3 linked regions of the Astyanax mexicanus genome follow. The protein of the gene in region 3 purifies or fractionates together with the protein of the main gene of each other region. This does not show direct contact. Links are inferred from orthologs where the notes say so. Each region holds a gene or a part of one and is shown on either strand. Other genes may lie near its edges. The genes, in order: ppp2r3c, cep350 and cep43.

What was found.
Region 1: the proteins of cep43 (region 3) and ppp2r3c purify together in Homo sapiens (affinity purification with mass spectrometry; 3 studies listed by BioGRID and IntAct, counting the BioPlex papers as one, with this or other methods). This does not show direct contact. The link is inferred for Astyanax mexicanus from reciprocal best matches to the Homo sapiens genes CEP43 and PPP2R3C.
Region 2: the proteins of cep43 (region 3) and cep350 purify together in Homo sapiens (affinity purification with mass spectrometry; 6 studies listed by BioGRID and IntAct, counting the BioPlex papers as one, with this or other methods). This does not show direct contact. The link is inferred for Astyanax mexicanus from reciprocal best matches to the Homo sapiens genes CEP43 and CEP350.

The regions. Positions count from the first base shown.
Region 1 is NC_064421.1:1,124,842-1,131,798, reverse strand, and holds the start of ppp2r3c (serine/threonine-protein phosphatase 2A regulatory subunit B'' subunit gamma), read right to left. Parts: upstream 4,464-6,957; 5' UTR 4,349-4,463; coding exon 4,285-4,348; intron 3,248-4,284; coding exon 3,123-3,247; intron 182-3,122; coding exon 77-181; intron 1-76. UniProt on the Homo sapiens protein: May regulate MCM3AP phosphorylation through phosphatase recruitment. May act as a negative regulator of ABCB1 expression and function through the dephosphorylation of ABCB1 by TFPI2/PPP2R3C complex.
Region 2 is NC_064419.1:9,458,266-9,465,222, forward strand, and holds the start of cep350 (centrosome-associated protein 350), read right to left. Parts: upstream 4,289-6,957; 5' UTR 4,167-4,288; intron 2,240-4,166; 5' UTR 2,152-2,239; intron 1-2,151. UniProt on the Homo sapiens protein: Plays an essential role in centriole growth by stabilizing a procentriolar seed composed of at least, SASS6 and CPAP. Required for anchoring microtubules to the centrosomes and for the integrity of the microtubule network.
Region 3 is NC_064408.1:75,013,496-75,020,452, forward strand, and holds the start of cep43 (FGFR1 oncogene partner), read right to left. Parts: upstream 3,752-6,957; 5' UTR 3,589-3,751; intron 3,439-3,588; 5' UTR 3,407-3,438; coding exon 3,203-3,406; intron 2,719-3,202; coding exon 2,665-2,718; intron 1,964-2,664; coding exon 1,909-1,963; intron 1,824-1,908; coding exon 1,735-1,823; intron 22-1,734; coding exon 1-21. UniProt on the Homo sapiens protein: Required for anchoring microtubules to the centrosomes. Required for ciliation.

The sequences.
Region 1 (6,957 bases), on a different chromosome or scaffold from region 3:
GTTTTGATATTAAAGCATAATACTGTAGTTACAATAAGAACTATTATTTATTACAATACGATCACAATACGATCACCTGTAATTCCTCATTATCGAGGAGTTCCCGGCTCTTCCTCTGCAGGAACACGGCTCGGGACTCTTCTCTCAGCTTCTGCAGCAGAACTTCATCCTCTGCTGGAAGCTGTTAATAAAAAATAATCATAAAGCTGAAAGCTGTTCTGAAAGATATCCTTCCTCTAAAATCCTCTTTTTCTTATTCTTAGTGAAATACAGTGGGTCTCTGAGTAGTTTATGATGCTGCACATGATGAAACTCTTCCTCATTGTTCTGCAGCAGTTAGTAAAAGAAAATATTCAGAAAAATAAACGAGTCGATCAGGAAAAGCACCGTTTCTACATCAACTCGTAAATTAGTATTCATGGCCCTGCCCACCTCGGCTCGGGACCGCCCACAGACAGAGCTGAAGCCGGGCAGCGATGCCGTCTCGTCAGATAGGAGCTAACTAACAGTAGCGATGGGTCTGACGACCCTGAAACCTCGGCACAAGCGCCGAGCTATCAAGGCGAAACCCCGTGTCGGTGCGCGTATCAAGTTAAGGAAAACCACGTGACCGATACACTTCCTGTATCGTTTGGTAGCGATGGGTCTGACGACACTGAAACCTCTGCGCATGCACCGAGCAAACAAGGTGAACCGCTGTGTCGGACCGCGTATCATTTTAAGGTAAACCACGTGACCGATGCAGTTCCTCGCACAGTTGCTTGCAATGACTTTTTAAGTCCAGCAGATGTCGCCATTAACTGATGCAGCAACACAGCTTCAACACAGTGTCGATACAGTTTGGACACACAATGAGGCTTCATCTGCCCATCACTACCTAACAGCGCTAGGAGCAGCATGCAGTTCATTCCTGTGTTATTTGTGCGAATAACACATCAGTGTTTATATACTTTACCCAGTAATTCAAAACTAAGAAACAAATGGTTAGAATTAGTCTATGGAGGAAAAACACCACCAGGCAAGTACAATAGAGATAGGTAGGTGTTTAGATGTTTAGAACAGTTCTGTTTACACTAGTTAAAAGTAAAAATCCACACCAGCGTTTTGTTCCAACTACACATTACACATGCTGTAAAGTAATATATGAAATTGCAAAGATTTTTATTAGTGTAAAAATATCCTTATTTTTAAAACTTTCTAACTGTTGTCCGTCTCACCACACTGCAGTGCTGTAAGCCAATCAGAGGCGATATGTTTGCATATATTAATATTCATGAGCAAGAGCTAAAATTCTATTGTTTTTCTCCACCCCACTCCTCCACTGGACTAAAGCAGTGTTATACCGGATCACCGGAGTACTTTTTTTCATAACAAATCAGCTCACATGGACTTTAATGGACTTTTAATGTATGAGTAATCAATATTTAATAGCTTTGCTTGTGGAAGTTCTACATGTAAAGCTTTGGGTGTGTGGAGTAACTCACCCTGTAGTAAAAGTGAGGGATGAGTGTGGAGTAACTCACCCTGTAGTAAAAGCGAGGGATGAGTGTGGAGTAACTCACCCTGTAGTAAAAGCGAGGAACGAGTGTGGAGTAACTCACCCTGTAGTAAAAGCGAGGGATGAGTGTAGAGTAACTTACCCTGTAGTAAAAGCTAGGGATGAGTGTAGAGAAACTTACCCTGTAGTAAAAGCGAGGGATGAGTGTAGAGTAACTCACCCTGTAGTAAAAGCGAGAGATGAGTGTAGAGTAACTCACCCTGTAGTAAAAGCGAGAGATGAGTGTAGAGTAACTCACCCTGTAGTAAAAGCGAGGGATGAGTATAGAGTAACTCACCCTGTAGTAAAAGCGAGGGATGAGTGTGGAGTAACTCACCCTGTAGTAAAAGCGAGGGATGAGTATAGAGTAACTCACCCTGTAGTAAAAGCGAGGGATGAGTATAGAGTAACTCACCCCGGAGGAAAAACGAGGGATGAGTGTGGAGTAACTCACCCTGTAGTAAAAGAGAGGGATGAGTGTAGAGTAACTTACCCTGTAGTAAAAGCGAGGGATGAGTGTGGAGTAACTCACCCTGTAGTAAAAGCGAGGGATGAGTGTGGAGTAACTCACCCTGTAGTAAAAGCGAGGGATGAGTGTGGAGTAACTCACCCTGTAGTAAAAGCGAGGGATGAGTGTGGAGTAACTCACCCTGTAGTAAAAGCGAGGGATGAATGTAGAGTAACTCACCCTGTAGTAAAAGTGAGGGATGAGTGTGGAGTAACTCACCCTGTAGTAAAAGCGAGGGATGAGTGTGGAGTTACTCACCCTGTAGTAAAAGTGAGGGATGAGTGTAGAGTAACTCACCCTGTAGTAAAAGTGAGGGATGAGTGTAGAGTAACTCACCCTGTAGTAAAAGCGAGGGATGAGTATAGAGTAACTCACCCTGTAGTAAAAGCGAGGGATGAGTATAGAGTAACTCACCCTGTAGTAAAAGCGAGGGATGAGTATAGAGTAACTCACCCTGTAGTAAAAGCGAGAGATGAGTATAGAGTAACTCATCCTGTAGTAAAAGCGAGGGATGAGTGTGGAGTAACTCACCCTGTAGTAAAAGTGAGGGATGAGTGTAGAGTAACTCACCCTGTAGTAAAAGCGAGGGATGAGTGTAGAGTAACTCACCCTGTAGTAAAAGTGAGGGATGAGTGTAGAGTAACTCACCCTGTAGTAAAAGCGAGGGATGAGTGTAGAGTAACTCACCCTGTAGTAAAAGCGAGGGATGAGTGTAGAGTAACTCACCCTGTAGTAAAAGTGAGGGATGAGTGTAGAGTAATTCACCCTGTAGTAAAAGCGAGGGATGAGTGTGGAGTAACTCACCCTGTAGTAAAAGCGAGGGATGAGTGTAGAGTAACTCACCCTGTAGTAAAAGAGAGGGATGAGTGTGGAGTAACTCACCCTGTAGTAAAAGCGAGGGATGAGTGTAGAGTAACTCACCCTGTAGTAAAAGTGAGGGATGAGTGTGGAGTAACTCACCCTGTAGTAAAAGTGAGGGATGAGTGTGGAGTAACTCACCCTGTAGTAAAAGCGAGGGATGAGTGTGGAGTAACTCACCCTGTAGTAAAAGCGAGGGATGAGTGTGGAGTAACTCACCCTGTAGTAAAAGCGAGGGATGAGTTTGAAGGTGTTTTCTGCGTTTCCTCCTCCTTTCCATTCAGTGTAATATTTAGTGAAGAGCTCCGTCTCCTCCTCTCTCTTCTCCTCCTCACTCCGGCTCTCTGATACACAAACAAAAATATATTATTATTTTATTAATAATTCAATAATACGCTTAAATCATTTTTGTTCAGATCAGCAGTTTTAGTTAAATATATCATATAGTTCTTCCAGTATGAGATGTATATATATACGACGGGCCAAAAAATATATAATTTGTAGATTAGGGTTCATATTAAAGCGGATTTCAGTAACAGATATAACATTATTTAGCTATATAATAAATACATATAAATACAGTCTGTAAACCTGTCAGTTTTGTATTAATGATACAATTACTGAATCACATATTTAGCTACCACCTTAAATATATTTTCATTATAATGTAGCTCAAATATTCTATCTACTAAATTATTTATAGGTTTTACCAAACGATCTGGTTCTAAAATCCACAACAGGAAATCAGGAGATTATCTAGATTATTTTGAATTATTTTAGGTTAGAATAGATGTTTTTTGGATTAGATTCAATTATTTTGGATTAGATAAGATTATTTTAGATTGGATTATATTATATTATTTTAGATTATTTTATTTTGAATTATCTTATTTTAGATTAGTTTAGTTTTATTTTTTAGATTATATATGTTTTTTAGATTATCTTATTTAAAATGATCTTATTTTAGATTATCTTATTTTAGATTATTTTATTTTTCATTAGGAGATCAGAGGACTTTCTTTATCTTAGCAACAAGCTAACATGTAAACAAACAGATACAGAATTAAAATACAATAAAAATAACTCATATAAATAAACGAGGCTTGTTATTTTCACCTACTGATAAATAATTATTTTAAAAAATATGGATTTTTAAACTGACTGTAATTGTTTATACTGTAGTTTGGTAGTTAGATACTAGCGGTGAGTAATCCAGGTCCAGAAAATAAAAATCCATCCCAGGGTTTTGTACCAACTCCCTGGGCAGCCCAGGCATTTGGTACAAAACCCTGGGATGGATTTTTACTTTCTGGACCTGGATTACCCACCGCTATAACTAATAGTAACCGACAGCTAAGCTAATGCTAATATTACAGTTAACCTGTTTTTGAGGTCAGTCTTCTCCTCAGGATCTCCTTCCACTCCGCAGATTTATCGCTCTCCATATTCCACACTTACTAAACCACAGCAGATCATCTAATAAACCATAATAACACTTTATTACACCCAAAATAAAATCGGCTGATTTAGCCTAGCTGTTAGCTAACCAGCGCTATTACCACAGAGTCTCTTAAAGCGAGAGAGCACACTTAAGAATATATTTTCTGTGTGTTTTCCATTTTGACCACCAGGGGGCGCTGCAGAGGGAGTCTAAAAATAAGTGGGTTCCTATGGGGCAATTAGGCAAAATCATTAATTTATTAATTTAAACGTCCATATAAACTAAAACATTTATTTTTATTTTTTATGTTGATATTCACATTCATGTTTAAAAGATCTAGTTAAATATTTTTCCAATTGAGCGAATCAGAGTATAGATATAAAATGTAAACTTTTTTTTTTCGTTTTAACAGTAGTTTAAATCAGATGATCCTTTTTAGAAAATAAAATAATAAAATCTTCCTGATGATAATAAATTGAAATTGATAAAGGTAATCTATTTTAATGTTTTTTATGCTAAATTTGATTATTATATGTTATCCAAAAAGCAACTAAAAGCTGTGTCCACTTTAAAGTATCCAAATAAATGAGTTAAAAATTTAGTTAGTTGAAGAATGAGATGTGTTGTCGTTTATAATAAATATTTTGTTTGGTTTATTTTAAATTATCTTAGATATTCTTGCTCGCATTATATTACGTTTTTATTTAATGAAAAATAAATAAATAAGCAGGTTGTTTTCTTGTACAAAAAAATGCTTTAACACTTGTTACTTAAACAGATATGTGAATAAAATGATGATGATGATGATGATGATCATCATATATAACAGGGGAGATAGGAAGTGGGCAGTCTCTCTATAATAAAGCAGCTGTGGCTGAAACACAAGCAGCAGCATTAACCCATTCACTCCCTTTAACTGCAGATTAATATTTATATACATATATATTAAAAACACGTCACTGTAAATAAGAAATAATACAATACATGCTGCAGACATCACTACAGCATGTAAAATATGAGGACATTTAATTCACAGAACATATAAAAGTGATACAAAAATAATAATAATTAAAAATAAAACAGAACACATTTAAGCAATAGTAGCTAATTATCTGTGGCAGTTTTATCCTAAAATTACACCAATTATTATTTCAAATCTATCTACTGCTGTTTTTACTTGAGGAAACTCTATTCATATATCAGCAACACTTGGCAAAGTGTGCGAAACAATTCTGTCAAAATAAAAGTCTTTACTACTATTACTTATAATAATAATAATAATCTTTCTATATGGTCTTTACTTTTTATTATTTAAGTTAAAGTTAATAGAGCAAATCTAGCTATAACGAGGATGTTGGGGAAAACATTATAAGAATGCAACTACAGATAAATAAATAAAACTAAAAATATATATATAGGGAAAAAATAAAAACAATAAAAGAGGAACATTTAATATAAATAAATAAAAGAATCTATAAAATAAATGTTAAAAGGCACCTAAAACAAATCAATATGTAAAAAGTTAATTAAAACAAAAAATAAAATAAAATAAATAAAATAAATGAATAAATAAAATCAACTATAACAGTGTCAGGCTGTCTAATTACCCAAAAAATATTAGTATCTAAATCTTGTTTTACTAGTCCTAATTACTTCATATACTTCATATGCAGTCATAAACAGTTTGTGTATATAATATTTATATCATAGAAGTTGAGGAATAGAAAGTGTAGGGATGAGTTAAAAGGGTGCAATAGTGGGTCTCCGGGCTGTAGGGGGCGCTGTTGCGCTGCTGCTGTTACTCTGCAGTAAGAGCGGAAGAAGTGGAGCGGTAATGCTGATACACGTGAGTTTATTATTATTTCACCTTCTGGTCACTTTTACTGTATTTATACTCATTTATACTCATTTATACTCATTATTCAGCTCCTTCACTCATAAACACACATCCAGCAGCAGCTCTACCGCTTATTAACCCTGTACTGACCTTCAGTTCACTGTAAATATATTGAGTTTCTCTTTGTTAACCTTTAAAACCTTCAAAAACAAACATAATTACATACTACAACATATTGCAACTCATACTGTACCAGAGCCGCACTTACTGTGGCCAATTTATTGGAAACACCCTACCTTTACCTTATGTTTCCAATCCACTAACTGTGTTAAAAATGATTTACCTATTTTTGTTGGAGTTATTCTGGGCTCTGCTTGAAGCTTTTGCTGGTGTACGGTTAATTACTAGCCAACATTTTATAGAATACATGCTACACTGTATTGGCAATAGCATTAAGCATCATGGCATTATAATATTTTCCAAATATGTGTTGTATAGAATAGGAGTGTAAGAAAAGATTGATATATTGATATATTTTTTGTTTTGCAATACTGTATTGAGTTTCAAAAATACAGTACCAATATTTAATTATTAGCTTAGATGTAAAGGTTGGTGTCAGAAGTGGTTCATTTTGTGTTGTGCTTAAACCGTGACCACTAGAGAGCAGTGTTGTACTCACTATTCTAATTGGATGAAAAATAAATCTTTTTTTATTCAGATTTTATGAATGTGTGTTTTTTATACTATAACAGTTTTAAACTGTTTTAAATTATTGC
Region 2 (6,957 bases), on a different chromosome or scaffold from region 3:
ATACATTTCATTAAACAACTTTCTTTAATTTTATCTTTAATTTTAATTTAGTTGCACATTGATGTTTACATTTTTCATGAGATTAATGCTTAATACAAAGATGTTTAATGAGATGTTGAATTGCTTGTTTCATACTTAAATATTTAATTTCAATTTAGTTGTACATTGATGTTTATATCTGTCATGAAATTAATACTTAATAAAAAAAGTTGTTTTATGAGATGTTGAATTACTTATTTTGTATTTAAACATTCCATTTCAATTTAGTTATACAGTGATGTTTAAAGTTTTAAGGAATTTATGTCTAATGAGGTATGTTGAAATTTGTTTTATTAAAATACACAGTTCAAAATAGGATATTTTCACAGCTTGAGTCTTACTGAGAATAATTTTCAACAGCAAATACCACATTTTGTTCAATATTACTACTCCATACAAAACTCAAGAAGTACATCATTAGAATTTGTTATTTATTCACAGCATTCACACTCTGTGTTTGTTGTGTAAAGTGTTATTGTTAATTAAGTAGGAATCCTTGTAATGACTCTCTTTACCGAAACATTGACTCTCTTTACCGAAACACCATTCTCTTTACCGCAACACATATTTATTTACTAATTATTTTACTGTTATAAAACAAATTCTAGTTTATAATGGTATTTGGATAAATTGTATTTCTTCATAGGTCATCTGTACTAAATAAGAAATTATACATGTAATTTTTCAGTTAAATATCCTGAAAAGACAGGACATGAATCATGAAATCTGTTGCGGTAATGAGACAAATCATAAAATAAAAAAAAATGGGAAACTTATAAATATAATATTTTCTGGGTTATATACACATATGAGCACAACTGTTAATAATATCTATTTAAAAAGTAACAAATGTGTAACTTTTAAACCATATCTGTTCTGTGTTATCATGTTGCGGTACTGAGAATGTGTGTGCTCTGACTGACTAAAATGGTGCAAAATATACAGAAAAAAATTATAAAATTAAAAAAAAAAAGTATTTCTAAAAAGTTCAGACCCTAGTCTTGCATAACAAAAAGAAATTTTATATTTAAATGCCTTTTGAAATTTTTCAAGTGTGAACCCTTTTAAATCTGTTTTTCGTGAGAATCACCCTATTATGCTATTATAATATGTTATAAATAAAACTCTAGCTTTGAAGTAATATCACTTATCACAATTACTTCTGTAAAAATATAAAGTTAAAACAATTGGTTACTGTGAAAGGACTTAATGTTTATTATTATTCAACAGTAATGGAAGGTGCAGATCAATAAAAAGTGATATTATACTTATATCATTTATATTTATCGGAATTTGATGATGAATGGAACAAAAGAAATGCTACAGAATTGTCGGACTTCACTTTCCCTACTGTAAAGCTGCTGTTTTGGAGATACAACCTTTTTCATGATAGTGATATGTATAGAAACAAAATGGTAAGAAAAGTCTGTCCTAAATAAAATGTTTTAGTTATATCTGAAAAAAATAAATCATTAACACACACACCAATGAAGCATAACATTATGACCACTTTCTTGTTTAATACACCCATTATACATTTGTTTTTTTATTATCTCTAGTTCTTAATCAGTGGGCACAAGACGCCAACAACAGGACACTGTTTGCGTACTAGTCTACAGCAGTACAGCCCTATTCATTCTTTTTGAAGGAGGCGTGTCTACACTACAATGACAGTTAATCGAGTTGTCATGAGAACAGTGAGTTTAGCGTCCTTAGACAGGACTGTTTGTTTATCTGACAAAGAAAAAAATTAACCCTTTAAACCCTTTAAGGTTCACAATTCACTTTCTTATCTTTAAATGATTTTACATACTAGTTTAACAGCAGCTTCCGAATCAGCTATAGTAGATACTGGAGGAAACTGCATTAAACAATATTATTGTCATTTCAAGAACATTTTATTACATTAAGAATATTTAGTCATTGTAATTGTATTTGTATTCTTTAAATATTCTAAATGAATAACATAACATTAAGAAAAACATATTGGGGGCAGGAAAAATGACTGAGGTCATGGTAATGTGTTACACACATTTTTAACATAATTATTGACCCAGTATTATTATTTTTTTTTTTATTTATCATGTAAACTACAAGTTCTCATCTACTCACCGTACAGCACCTCCCAGAGAACCGTGACCCGGCTCCGCCCTCTGGCCTGCTGCACACATCAGGGTCCGGAGACGAAGAAAAAACAACCCTGGACCAAGAACCAACAGTTCATCACATTAGATCAGATTAGCCGTTTCACTCTACTGATTCTGAAGATTAACATCTTGAGGACACTTACATGAGTTAAATTCTACTATAATTAGGGATGCATAGCCACCACTTTATTCCAACCAAGTACAAGCATTTGCATATTTGTACTTTCCAATACAGTTGTTAGTGTAAAAGGTTTTATTGTTATTATATAAATTATATTAACAATTTAAACTTTTCCAAAAAAGCATATTTTTCAGAATAATCATGTGATGTCAGGACTACATCAACCAATCCTTAATCCTGGATATATATATGGAAATATTTGGAGTGCATTATTAGTTTCTTGACATCCTGGATCATTGACTTCTGTTACAAATCTGATACAATTACTGTATTTTTTCATATCTCAGTTAGGGGTGTGCAATATCATATCGTATGCAATAATACATTTTATTTTTATTTTTTTTTTTAGCAATAGTGCATTCTTGAAATAATTTTTAAAATTCAGTGTTATGTCATATCGCCAATAGTATCCTCATTGCGAAAATACCATGAATATCATGATATTATTTTAGGGCCATATCGCCCACCTCTAATTACGAGTAACCCCAGGAGTACTTGTAAAAGTAAATGAGCATGGTACTGAGCAAATATCCAACACCAGTATTAGTTTTTATGCATCTCTTGTAAGAAAATAGGGGAATAATAGTATATTAAAGTAGATCTAGGAGTTTATTTAACAACAAGGCCCGCCCACTAGATAACAGTGTTGTACTGTGGCATTAGATTCTACTTATCTGATTGGATAAAAAGTAAAGTTTGATGTATAATATATGTGGTATAAACTGTTTTGTTACAATTACGCATGGGCGATATGCCCTTAAAATAATATCAATGGCTGATAAATAAAAAGACAAATACAATTCTGACACATTAAATATTTTCCACACTATGCATACAATGAAAAGGCTGTGTATTCTTAGCTAGTAGTAAATATACTAAAACTGACATTAATGTTTTTAAACATGGATGTGAACATTTTTTAAGTTATTAAAAAATAGTATAGTTTGTAATTACAAATTATAATTCGTTAATCGTTACGGTCCTACAGCAAACTGGCTACTAACTAAAAACAAAAATGTAAGATTTAAAGTGACAAGTATTTAAAGTGGCAACTTTTTTCTGGTAAGTCAATCAATCAGTTACAATCTTTATAACCTCTTTTTATTATTAAACGTTATTATTCCTCTATACTGAGCCCACAACTCCTCAAACTGAAAGAAATTTAAGAAGAAATGTAGAAAATCCGGTTATTGCTAGTTTTACTTTCACGTCAAGTTGCCTAGTAGTCAGCAATCTTCCGTTCCACCTTAAATGCTGCAGCAGTAACCTTAGTAATTCCTGAGACGCCTGACTGTCACTGCTGCACTAACGCTACTTAAGGTGGAACGGAGAATTACGAACAAGGAACCAGTGTCAGCTGCATATCATGAACCAAGTTGACAACCAAGCTTTTAACATAGCCAGGATTCACCAGAACAGTCCGAATTATTTAAATAAAGCCTAAATAATAACTAACTTGTTTAAAAACTCTTATTCACACGAAACAGAAACCAGGTTAGCCTTTAACTGCATTTCCACACATTTACCAACAAAACAACCCAAACACAGAAACACCGCAGCAGAAAACACCCCAAAGATAATCTCTACAGCTCTGTTATTAACTCATACAGATAATAAAACTGGAATTTGACAACAGAAAACTAAAAATACACTAAAATAAACATATCCACTAAAGTTCCCCGCTAACCGCTAACGGCTAACCGAGTTAGCACCGGCTCTCAGAACACTCCCACACCCGGGGATTAAACAGTCCGGTCCGCTGCTGAACACTCGGGTTCGGATGTTTTGGTTCTGCTCACCTGGACGCGGCGGGTAAGCCCGTATCACTGTGTGTCAGAAAGTGTGTAGAGCTGAGTATAGAAGGGTTAGCCTCTCTCTCTCTGTAATGGAGCCGTTAGCCGCTCCGCCATTACACAACAAACATACGGAGATCTCGCGAGACTTCCGAGCAACAGGTTCGTACAGATGGGAGCCACCTCCCCCCTAGCGGTCAGGTTCGGTACCTACAGTAAAATTTAGGTCATTATCATCACCAGAACTCTATCACCGTTTTAATGCTACACCTTTTTGTTTTAAATGAATAAAGATGAATATTTATACTGTTATTTGTATATTTTATGGGGTAAAAGTCCAAAGAAATTGTCAATGTTTTCCTTTATTTAATATATTTTCTGCATTGTAGATTAATATTAAACACATTTCATAAGAAATATTAACACATAACCATGCACATATAGAATTTAAGGTCGGATATATATATATATATATATATATATATATATATATATATATATATATATATATATATATATACATAACGTTAAAAAAATAATAACACTTGAATTCTTGGATAAAAAAGGAGCTGACGAAAAATACTAAATCTACAGCTGCTGCACTTAAGGTGGAACAGAAGAAAAAGAAGCCAACATAGCTGTTTTTTCTCCAGCTTGCAGCCTTGTGCCACCTTAACTGCATTTTTAATGCAAAAAGAAAAAACAACAACAAGTTCATATTCATAAAGTTTTTAAAGAGTTCAGAAATCAATATTTGATGTTTTTTTTTAAATAAAAATAACCCTGTTTTTTAATCACAGTTTTCATGCATCTTGGCATGTTCTCCTCCACCAGTTTTACACACTGCTTTTGGATAACTTTATGCTGCTTTACTCCTGGTGCAAAAATTCAAGCAGTTCAGTTTGGTTTGATGGCTTGTGATCATCCATCTTCCTCTTGATTATATTCCAGAGGTTTTTCAATTTGGTAAAATCAAAGAGACTCATAATTTTTAAGTGGTCTCTTATTTTTTTCCAGAGCTGTATATATTAATTTAGCTATTTTAATAAAAATACCAATCACACACACACACACACACACACACACACACACACACATATATATATATATATATATACAGCCTTGGACACGTCAAAATAGATTGGTATTTTTATCTATTAATGAATAACTAAAACCTAAATCATTTTTATATAGTCTTAAAAACATTAAGAAAACAACATAGTTTTATATGCCATGTACCATTTAAAAATGAAAGAAAACAGTATTTAAAATGTATTATTTTAAAAATTCCAGTATATTTGAAATATGTGTTTATTGAATTATTAAATGTATTTTTAGAATACAAATGATATCAAGACAGATGTGTTTCCTGTTCAGAGTGAAATAAAGTTCTGTTTAAAGTGTTTCTGTCCGTCTGGATCTGTTCTGTTCCGGTCCGCTCGGCTGCAGTGAGCACTCAATGATTTACTTTCTGAAGATGAAATGTGGTGCAGTATATCAGAGCTGAGCCAAATCATTTAGGAGAAAGTAAACCAGCACTGCAGCAGGAAACCATCAGCACCAGTGCACGGCTATGATACATCTCACTCTCCTGCTCAACAGCTCAAAACCTCAACACATCCATCTCCTATTATCTTGTCTCTCTCTATATACCAATACTATATACCACCATTCCAAAAAATTTAATAATTTAAAGTGATGCTTCTCAAATCAGTTGCGACAGGGTCAGGTAATAGTCAGAGAAGTAAGGAGAGCAGCTGTTGGAGTTTAGGAAGATAAATATTTTCCCATTCTGGACTGAAGGAGGATTGTATCTCATCAACAGTCCTGGACTTTTTTCTTTCATGATGCACCAATTGTTTTTTCTCCCCAATTTACACGGCCAATTACCCAACCCACTCATTAGGACTCCCTCTATCACTAGTGATGCCCCAACACACCAGGAGAGTGAACACTAACACATGCTTCCTCCGATACATGTGAAGTCAGCCACCGCCTCTTTTCGAGCAGCTGATGCGCTCAGAGCAAAACGCAGCAGTGTGGTTCTGATACATCAGCTCACAGACGCCCTGTGCTGCGGACATCACCCTAGGAGTGATGTGGAGTGAGAGCGCCATCTACCCACCCGGAGGGAGCAGGGCCAATTGTGCTCCCTCTGAGCACCGGCAGCTTGATGGCAAAGCTGCATGAGTTCTAAAACCTCTTTATACTTTCCAGATGTGTAAAATGCCCGTGAGCTATAGTTGCAAGAAAAACTATGTAAACCCTTTGGGATTATACTTGGATTTCTGCATAAATTGGTCATTAAATATGTTCTGATCTTCATCTAAGTCACAACAATAGACAAGCACAGTCTGCTTAAATTATTAACACACAAACACTTATATGTTTGCATGTTTTTTATTGAACACAGCGTGTTAACAATTACAGTTAGGGTGGAAAAAGTATGTGAACCTTTGGATTTAATAACTGATTGATCCTCCTTTGGCAACAATAATCTCAACCAAACGTTTCCTGTAGTTGCAAATCAGACCTGCAGAATTTTGGACAATTTCTCATTACAAAACTGTTTCAGTTCAGCTATAATATTCTTGGGATATCTGATTGGGTGAATCGCTCTCTTGAGGTCATGATGCCACAGCATCTCAATTGGGTTGAGGAGGTCAGGACTCTCCAGAAGACGGATTTTCTTTTGTTGAAACCATTTGGTTGTTGATTTACTTCTATGTTTTGGGTCGTTGTCCTGTTGCATCATTCATCCTCTGTTGAGCTTCAGGTGGTGGACAGATGGTCTTAA
Region 3 (6,957 bases):
CCTACCATCGAGCCCATTTAACTGGATAAGACAAGAAATACACATACTTTTAATGACAAATGTTTAACAGAAGTATAACACATATCATTAAAATACACAAAACAATTAAAAATATATCTGAACAAAACAATAATTTTAGTTGCATTTAATTTCTATTCAAATTTATTCAAGCTATAGTAGGTCATGCACTATGTTTTCCATTGTCTATTTTCTATACTTGCTATTTTTAATTACAAATCTGGCATCTGTCTGTTATTTAGTGTCAGACTTTTCTAACAAATAGACCAATAGAAACACACCAAAATTACTTTAAAATTAATAAATAAAACTTTACACTGACTTTCCCTGAACGTTTTGCTATTTGGCTATTGTGATATATACAGCTCTGGAAAAAAGAGACCACTTAAAAATGTTGAGTTTATTACATTTTACCAAATTAAAAAACCTCTGGAATATAATCAAGAGAAAGATGAATGATCACAAGCTATCAAACCAAACTGAACTGCTTGAATTTTTGCAACAGGGGTGACAAAGTTATCCAAAAGCAGTGTGTAAGACTGTTGGAGGAGAACATGCCAAGATGCATGAAAACTGTGATTAAAAACCAGAGATATTCCACCAAATATTGATTTCTGAACTCTTAAAACTTTATGAATATGAACTTGTTATTTTGCATTATTTGAGGTCTGAAAGCTCTGCATCTTTTTTTTTATTTTAGCCATTTCTCATTGTCTGCAAATAAATGCTCTAAATGACAATATTTTCATTTGGAATTTGGGAGAAATGTTGTCTGTAGTTTATAAAATAAAATAACAATGTTCATTTTACTCAAACATAAACCTATAACTATTAAAATCTGAGAAACTGATTCAGAAACTTTTTTCCAGAGCTGTATATTCACATATATAAACATAGATCAGCCATATTATCACAATTCTAACAAATGAGGTAAATACCACCAATTATCTTACTACAATAGTACTGCTGGTTAATGGGTGTTAGAAACATTTTGGGTATTGACAGTTTTTGAAGATGATATGCTGGAAGCAAGCGATATGGGATCTGATTCATTGGGACAACAGCCAAGAGAATGTACACAACTGCAGTTTGTTATGTGTTCCTGATACCTATTAAAATGCTTCAAGTAAGGACAACCAGTGAAATAGTGATCTTCTGATAAATCAGACCAATTTGTGCCATGTTTAGATGATCAGCACTGACTGAAGCCTGCACTCATGAGTTTTATCATATTAAAGAAAAAAAAAAAAAAAAAGTCACCCCTTTCAGTCTGGCTGCTGTGGCACAGTGTTACAGCTACCCCTTGTGTCTATTTCACAAATAGATGCTGGAATACATAATGTTTCCTCAGTAAGAATGAAATTTACTATGTTTTATTAGCTGAATGAAGAACTAAGAGAAATGTTGCAGATTAAAAAAAGGCATAAATGCCTTGATGACATAAATATGCCTCAATGATGACATAAATGCCTCAATGATGACATATTGTAATGTAATATTAAACTTGTGTCTTATGCGATAGAATATTTGGAAATATCTCTTTGAACACTAAGTAGTTTAGGTGAGTTCATTGAACTATCTTAGTATATTTACTACGTTCTATTTTTAACACATTGATATTAAATAAATAAATAAATAAAAACTGTGATATACACAATATTCTGCAGTTGGTTTGAATGTTATGAGCATGGTAATAAAACAGAACATATACTGTACCGTGTTAATTTCTGGCTGAAAGACTGCAAGAGTGAAGTCTAAATTAAAGACTTGTAGGAAGTCGGTGATTAAACTGGCCACAAGGCGTCCTGCGAGAGAAGGACCCCAGTTATAAACAAGGCTAAAGCTCTGAGAAACAGTGAGGGAGAACAGCAGCCCTGCAGCTTCACTTACCATCTTTAGTGTTCAGACACTTCTTTAGATTTTCATTTACAAGTGGGGTTTTATTCTAGAGAGGACAGGAAGGAGACATTAATATCTAATACATATTACATACTCATATAACAGATGTGTTGCTACCCTATGGAAGCCTTTTCTCACCACAAAGAAAAGTAAACTGCTATCTTATTATTTTGAAAAAGTAAGACATTATTATGGAATACTTATTCACTATTTTGAAATCATGTTTTATTACTTTGAGATAGTAAGTCATTATTTTGAGATACTAACACACTGTACAGAGACAGAGGCAGGTGAGACAAAGATGCAACATTGTACAATCATTGAGGATTACTTTAGATGTAGATTTACAAATCATGAAATATTGGTGCTTTTAGAGGAATCAAACAATATCAAAATAAACCTCCGGACCTGGGAGAGAAGGCTATAGAAGAGCCAGCTATGAAAGGAGGAAAAACTACACAAATATAGCTGAAGTGGAATCCTTTATTAACCAACAGCTGCAGACATCTGTAAAACAACACGGATACAGACGAAAATAATGATATAGTATCTCAAAATAACGACTTACAATTTCAAAATAATGAGATAGTATCTGGAAATAATGAAAAATATATATATTTTTATTTTAGGTGGCAGGATGGGGCTTCCATATCACTCAGCTAGCTCTCAGTACAGAAGCTTATGATAAACAGTGATTTATAGAGAAGAGTTGAGTGAGTTAGAGTTCAGACTGCTGCTCCACTTTACCTCCACTTTATCCTGCTCTTCTAAAGCCAGAAACACCGCAGCTCGAAGCTCAGCCTGCAGAACAACACCGGCTACACTCAGATCACACTTCAGTAAACCAGAATTAACATATTTTTTATACACATTAACTTACACACGTTTACACACACACGTTTACACACACACACACACACACACACACACACACAGAAAAAACACAAACACAAACACAAACACACACACAAACACAGACATACACAGACATACACATACACATACACATACACACGTTCTTTACTAGCCCGTGTTTAGAGAAGAACTCAATCTGTGAGTTCGGGGGAGAGCTCAGTGGTTCAGGTCTTCAGGTTATCTCATAGTTACAGTTTGTTGACACTACAGTTCAGCTAGTCAGCAGGCTAACCCAGCTGTAGCTAAGCTAAGCTAACCAAAACTTTAGCTCTCACTGCTGTACTAGAGTGAACTAACGTTACCTCACTAAGAGTCAACACACAGCCTCAGTAAAACTCTCCACTATCACCAGCTGTAGCTTCAGGAGTACCTTAATCTTGTTTAAAACGCCGTTGTTTTCCAGGTTCTGGATCAGGAGGTCTCTCAGCTCCGTGTCCTCCTCCGTGGCAGACATCTTCAACCCCACTGTCATGTGACCACGCGGCGCCCTCTGCCGGCGGACTGTCTTCATTACAGCTGAGGTGAACCGGCCGGTAGTATGTGTGACGACGCCGCAGAGCCTGCCTCCTGTCATGTCATCGTGGCCGCCATATTGGAGGAGTCAACCTTACGACCCAGTGCATTTATTAGTACTAAGGAAGGTGTTTAATACACATATAAAAATCACAACTCTACCAATATTTACCCGATTTTACCACGGTTTGGTTTGTTACAAACAGCAGAGATATAATTTAGTAACAGTACAGGGCAAAATACCTGCTTAGGGCTGTCAACGTTAACGCAAGTTAATTAAATCACCAAGTTTGACCCCTACTTCCGCTGTAATCTGCCCCAGAATCTATGGCTGCGTCCAGAAACTTTTGCTACTCCTCCTCTCCTACCCCTCCTTTCCTACTCCTCCTCTCCTACCCCGGAAGAAGGTGGAGGAATCGAGGAGAGGAGAGGAGGAGGAGGAATGGAGGGAAGGAGCTGTAATTGGGGAAATGGGACAGCTGATCCCTTTTAGATAGGATGTTGACTACCGTTGAACTGAGCCAATCACAACGCTCACTTTCAGCACGTTTCATAACATTACTATCACACACAGCCAAAAATTCAGATATTCCAATAAAATCCTGTTTACTCCCAGCCGCATTTCAGAGTGTGAAGGTTCAATTAGCAGGGTAAGAGCACAGTTCTGTTCAAAATATTGCATGTACACATAAGTGCCTTAAATATTGCCTTGCCTTTATTTCAGGTCAAGAAAACATCATTAACTTGATCAAGTCGTATTTATGTTATTTTGCAGATGCAATGTAAAACAGAGAAGATTTATACTTATGTTAAACCATACCATGTTTACAAGATAGAAATGTCAGGAAACCACTTGTCAATGTAAGAATGCACAGCTAAATTATCTTCATTGATTAACAGTTGTTTGACACATCCAAATGTACAATTTTCTGTTCTAATTTATTAAATGATTAATAATATTCCCATAAATCTGTAAATAAAGTGTTAAAATGCATATTTAGTTAGATGCATCAGCCTCTGTTACTTAGTATTAGCATATGTATATACAGGTAAAAACAACCGGGATCAGATTTAAGCGTTAAATAACCAAACAACATCTAGACTGGCTGATGCACAAAATAATGGATAGGTCGCATCTGCTTTGCAATTCCACAATGCAAAATGTGTTTGATGGCTAAGAGCAAGGATTTAATTGGTTAATGCAAAACATGATTGACAGGCTCATATCCCGAGTCCCCGCCCATTTAACCGCTAGAGGGAGCCCGCGAGTGAGTCTAAAATAATTGGGGGTGAATCACATTAAAAAGAACAATAAACTTCTTGTCCGAGATATTCCTTTAGCCCTTTCAGACCCTGCATCCATTACAATAAACATCACGTATTTTGTTATTTTACATGTTTGTTGCAAAAAAGACTATAAAAAAAACATTTTATTTTCACTTGCAGGCATTTACCCACCCTTTAATAGTTAGATACATGACAGGGAGAACAATGACAGGCTGAAGAGTTTTAGTCAAAATTGGCATTAAGTGAAAACATGGTTGAACTGCGCACCTTTTTTTGCAATTGTTCATGGTGACCTTGTTCTGCATCAAGGATACACATTAATGTTTTTCGATTCATTTAATTGCTGAATTTTATCTGGATATTTAATTTTGTTTTTGAACCATAAGAAGCCAGATGAAAACAAGCTTAAATGAAATAGGAGCAATGAGGCTATTTTAAAAATGTAAAAATTAGAAAGTACAGATAACTGTGTGAAAATGTAAAGAGTAGAAGTAAAAAATAATCGGAAAAATTACTCTATTAAAGTAGAGCTAACCCAAATTTCTACTTAAGTAATGTAACAAAGTATTTGTAGTGTATTACTTCAGGAGGGCTGTGAACACATCGAGGCGAGGAGACATACAGTGTGGCAACACAAGTTTTTATTGAGTAACAGATGTCAACACCAGCATGATAAAAATTGTACAAAGTTCACAATTTTAAAATGAAATATCACTGCAACGTGTGATCTTGAACATTTACAGCAAAAAGTATCATATCAACCAAAATCATGCCATGTGATTAAAAAATAATAATCATAATAATAATAATAAAATAGGGAGAGAAAGAGATAGATAGAGAGCAAGAGACCAAGAGAAAGCAATGTTTCTTTTTTTTTTAATATAAAATCCTGTTTTTTAAAATGATTGGTTGAAGTCCTTTTCAAATGGAACATCGTAACCTGATGATTTCACAATTAGTAATAAGAAATGTATTCTGCATTCAAGCATGTGATAGTGTAGTTAGTGTTTTTCTATTTAAATAGTTACAGATAATGTTCTTTTTTATTAGATACTGCAGTATTTTAGAACAGAAAGAGAGCAGCAGAATTGTGCTTTAACTCCTTTTTTCCTGTCGAATCAGTTATGATAGGTAATGAGAGGAAATTTTGCTATCGGTCTATTAGAAGCGTTATTATATTGGCAGCTGCATACACAAAGCTTTGGAGAGAGAGGAGGAGGAGGAGGAAGAAGATGGAGAGGCAGATATTTTGACCTGTTAGTCCATTTGGATGCATGAGGCATGAGGATGACTAGCACCTTCGTGTGAATTAGTCAAAAATACAGAGCTAGTCTAAATGAAGAAAGAAACGGTGAAGAAATGGCACGGTCGGTCCGTGTATATTCACCGTCGACCGAAATCCGTTCATTTTTGCAATCTCTGTGACAACATGATATAGAGGCTCATGCATTAGTGTACACAACCCACTCGTAAACCACTGAACTCAGGCCTTCACACTGTTCTGACAACGGCTAACATGATCTACTGAACTGAACCAGACAGACTGGGCTGCTTTACAGGGCTGAGCTCTAAAGTGTGCCATAGGATGGTACACTCTGGGGCAGCTACACCTGACCCTGAGGTCATAATGGCCAATTACAAGCATTGAGGGGTCTAAAGTCTCCCAGCATTGAGCTGTGGAACAGCAACTATGTTCCAATCCAGTAGCTACAGTTTAAGCTGGAGTGGAATTTGTGCATCAGTACCAGACCTCACTAATTCTCCTTAGCAGTAGAGCTGAAAAGATGCTGGTTTCCCAGACTCTAAATAACCCAAGCCTTATGTACATGCATTTTAGTATTCCCTATTGATAGTACACTTGAGTTTAGGGGTGTTTTCATGTGATTAGCTGGGGTAGGTGTGAATACTGTAATCACAACTAAGACCCCTGGGAAAAGGTGCTCTTGGTTTGGTCCCAAATGAACTAAAAAAAACAGTAAACAAACGTTCTCATCATAAAAACAAGCAGTTTTTATGATAAGAACGTGATCTGACCTTATCTAAACCCAACTATTAGGTGAACTCCACAAGTATGAACTGGTATTTTAGCCATTTAATTACTACAGCTTTGAACAAACACCATTTCTGCCACTGCTCCATGCTATTCTGTGCAGAAATAAGCATTAGTCCAGAACACAGGACCATCAAAGCAAACCAATTTTAGACCTAAAGTAAGGGTTTATCCTTGTCTAGGAAACTGCCAGATGTAGTGTAGTTTCTTATATAACATGGGATAATGTAACCAAGTAGCACCATTTAGTGCTCACTCATCATATGAATATACCA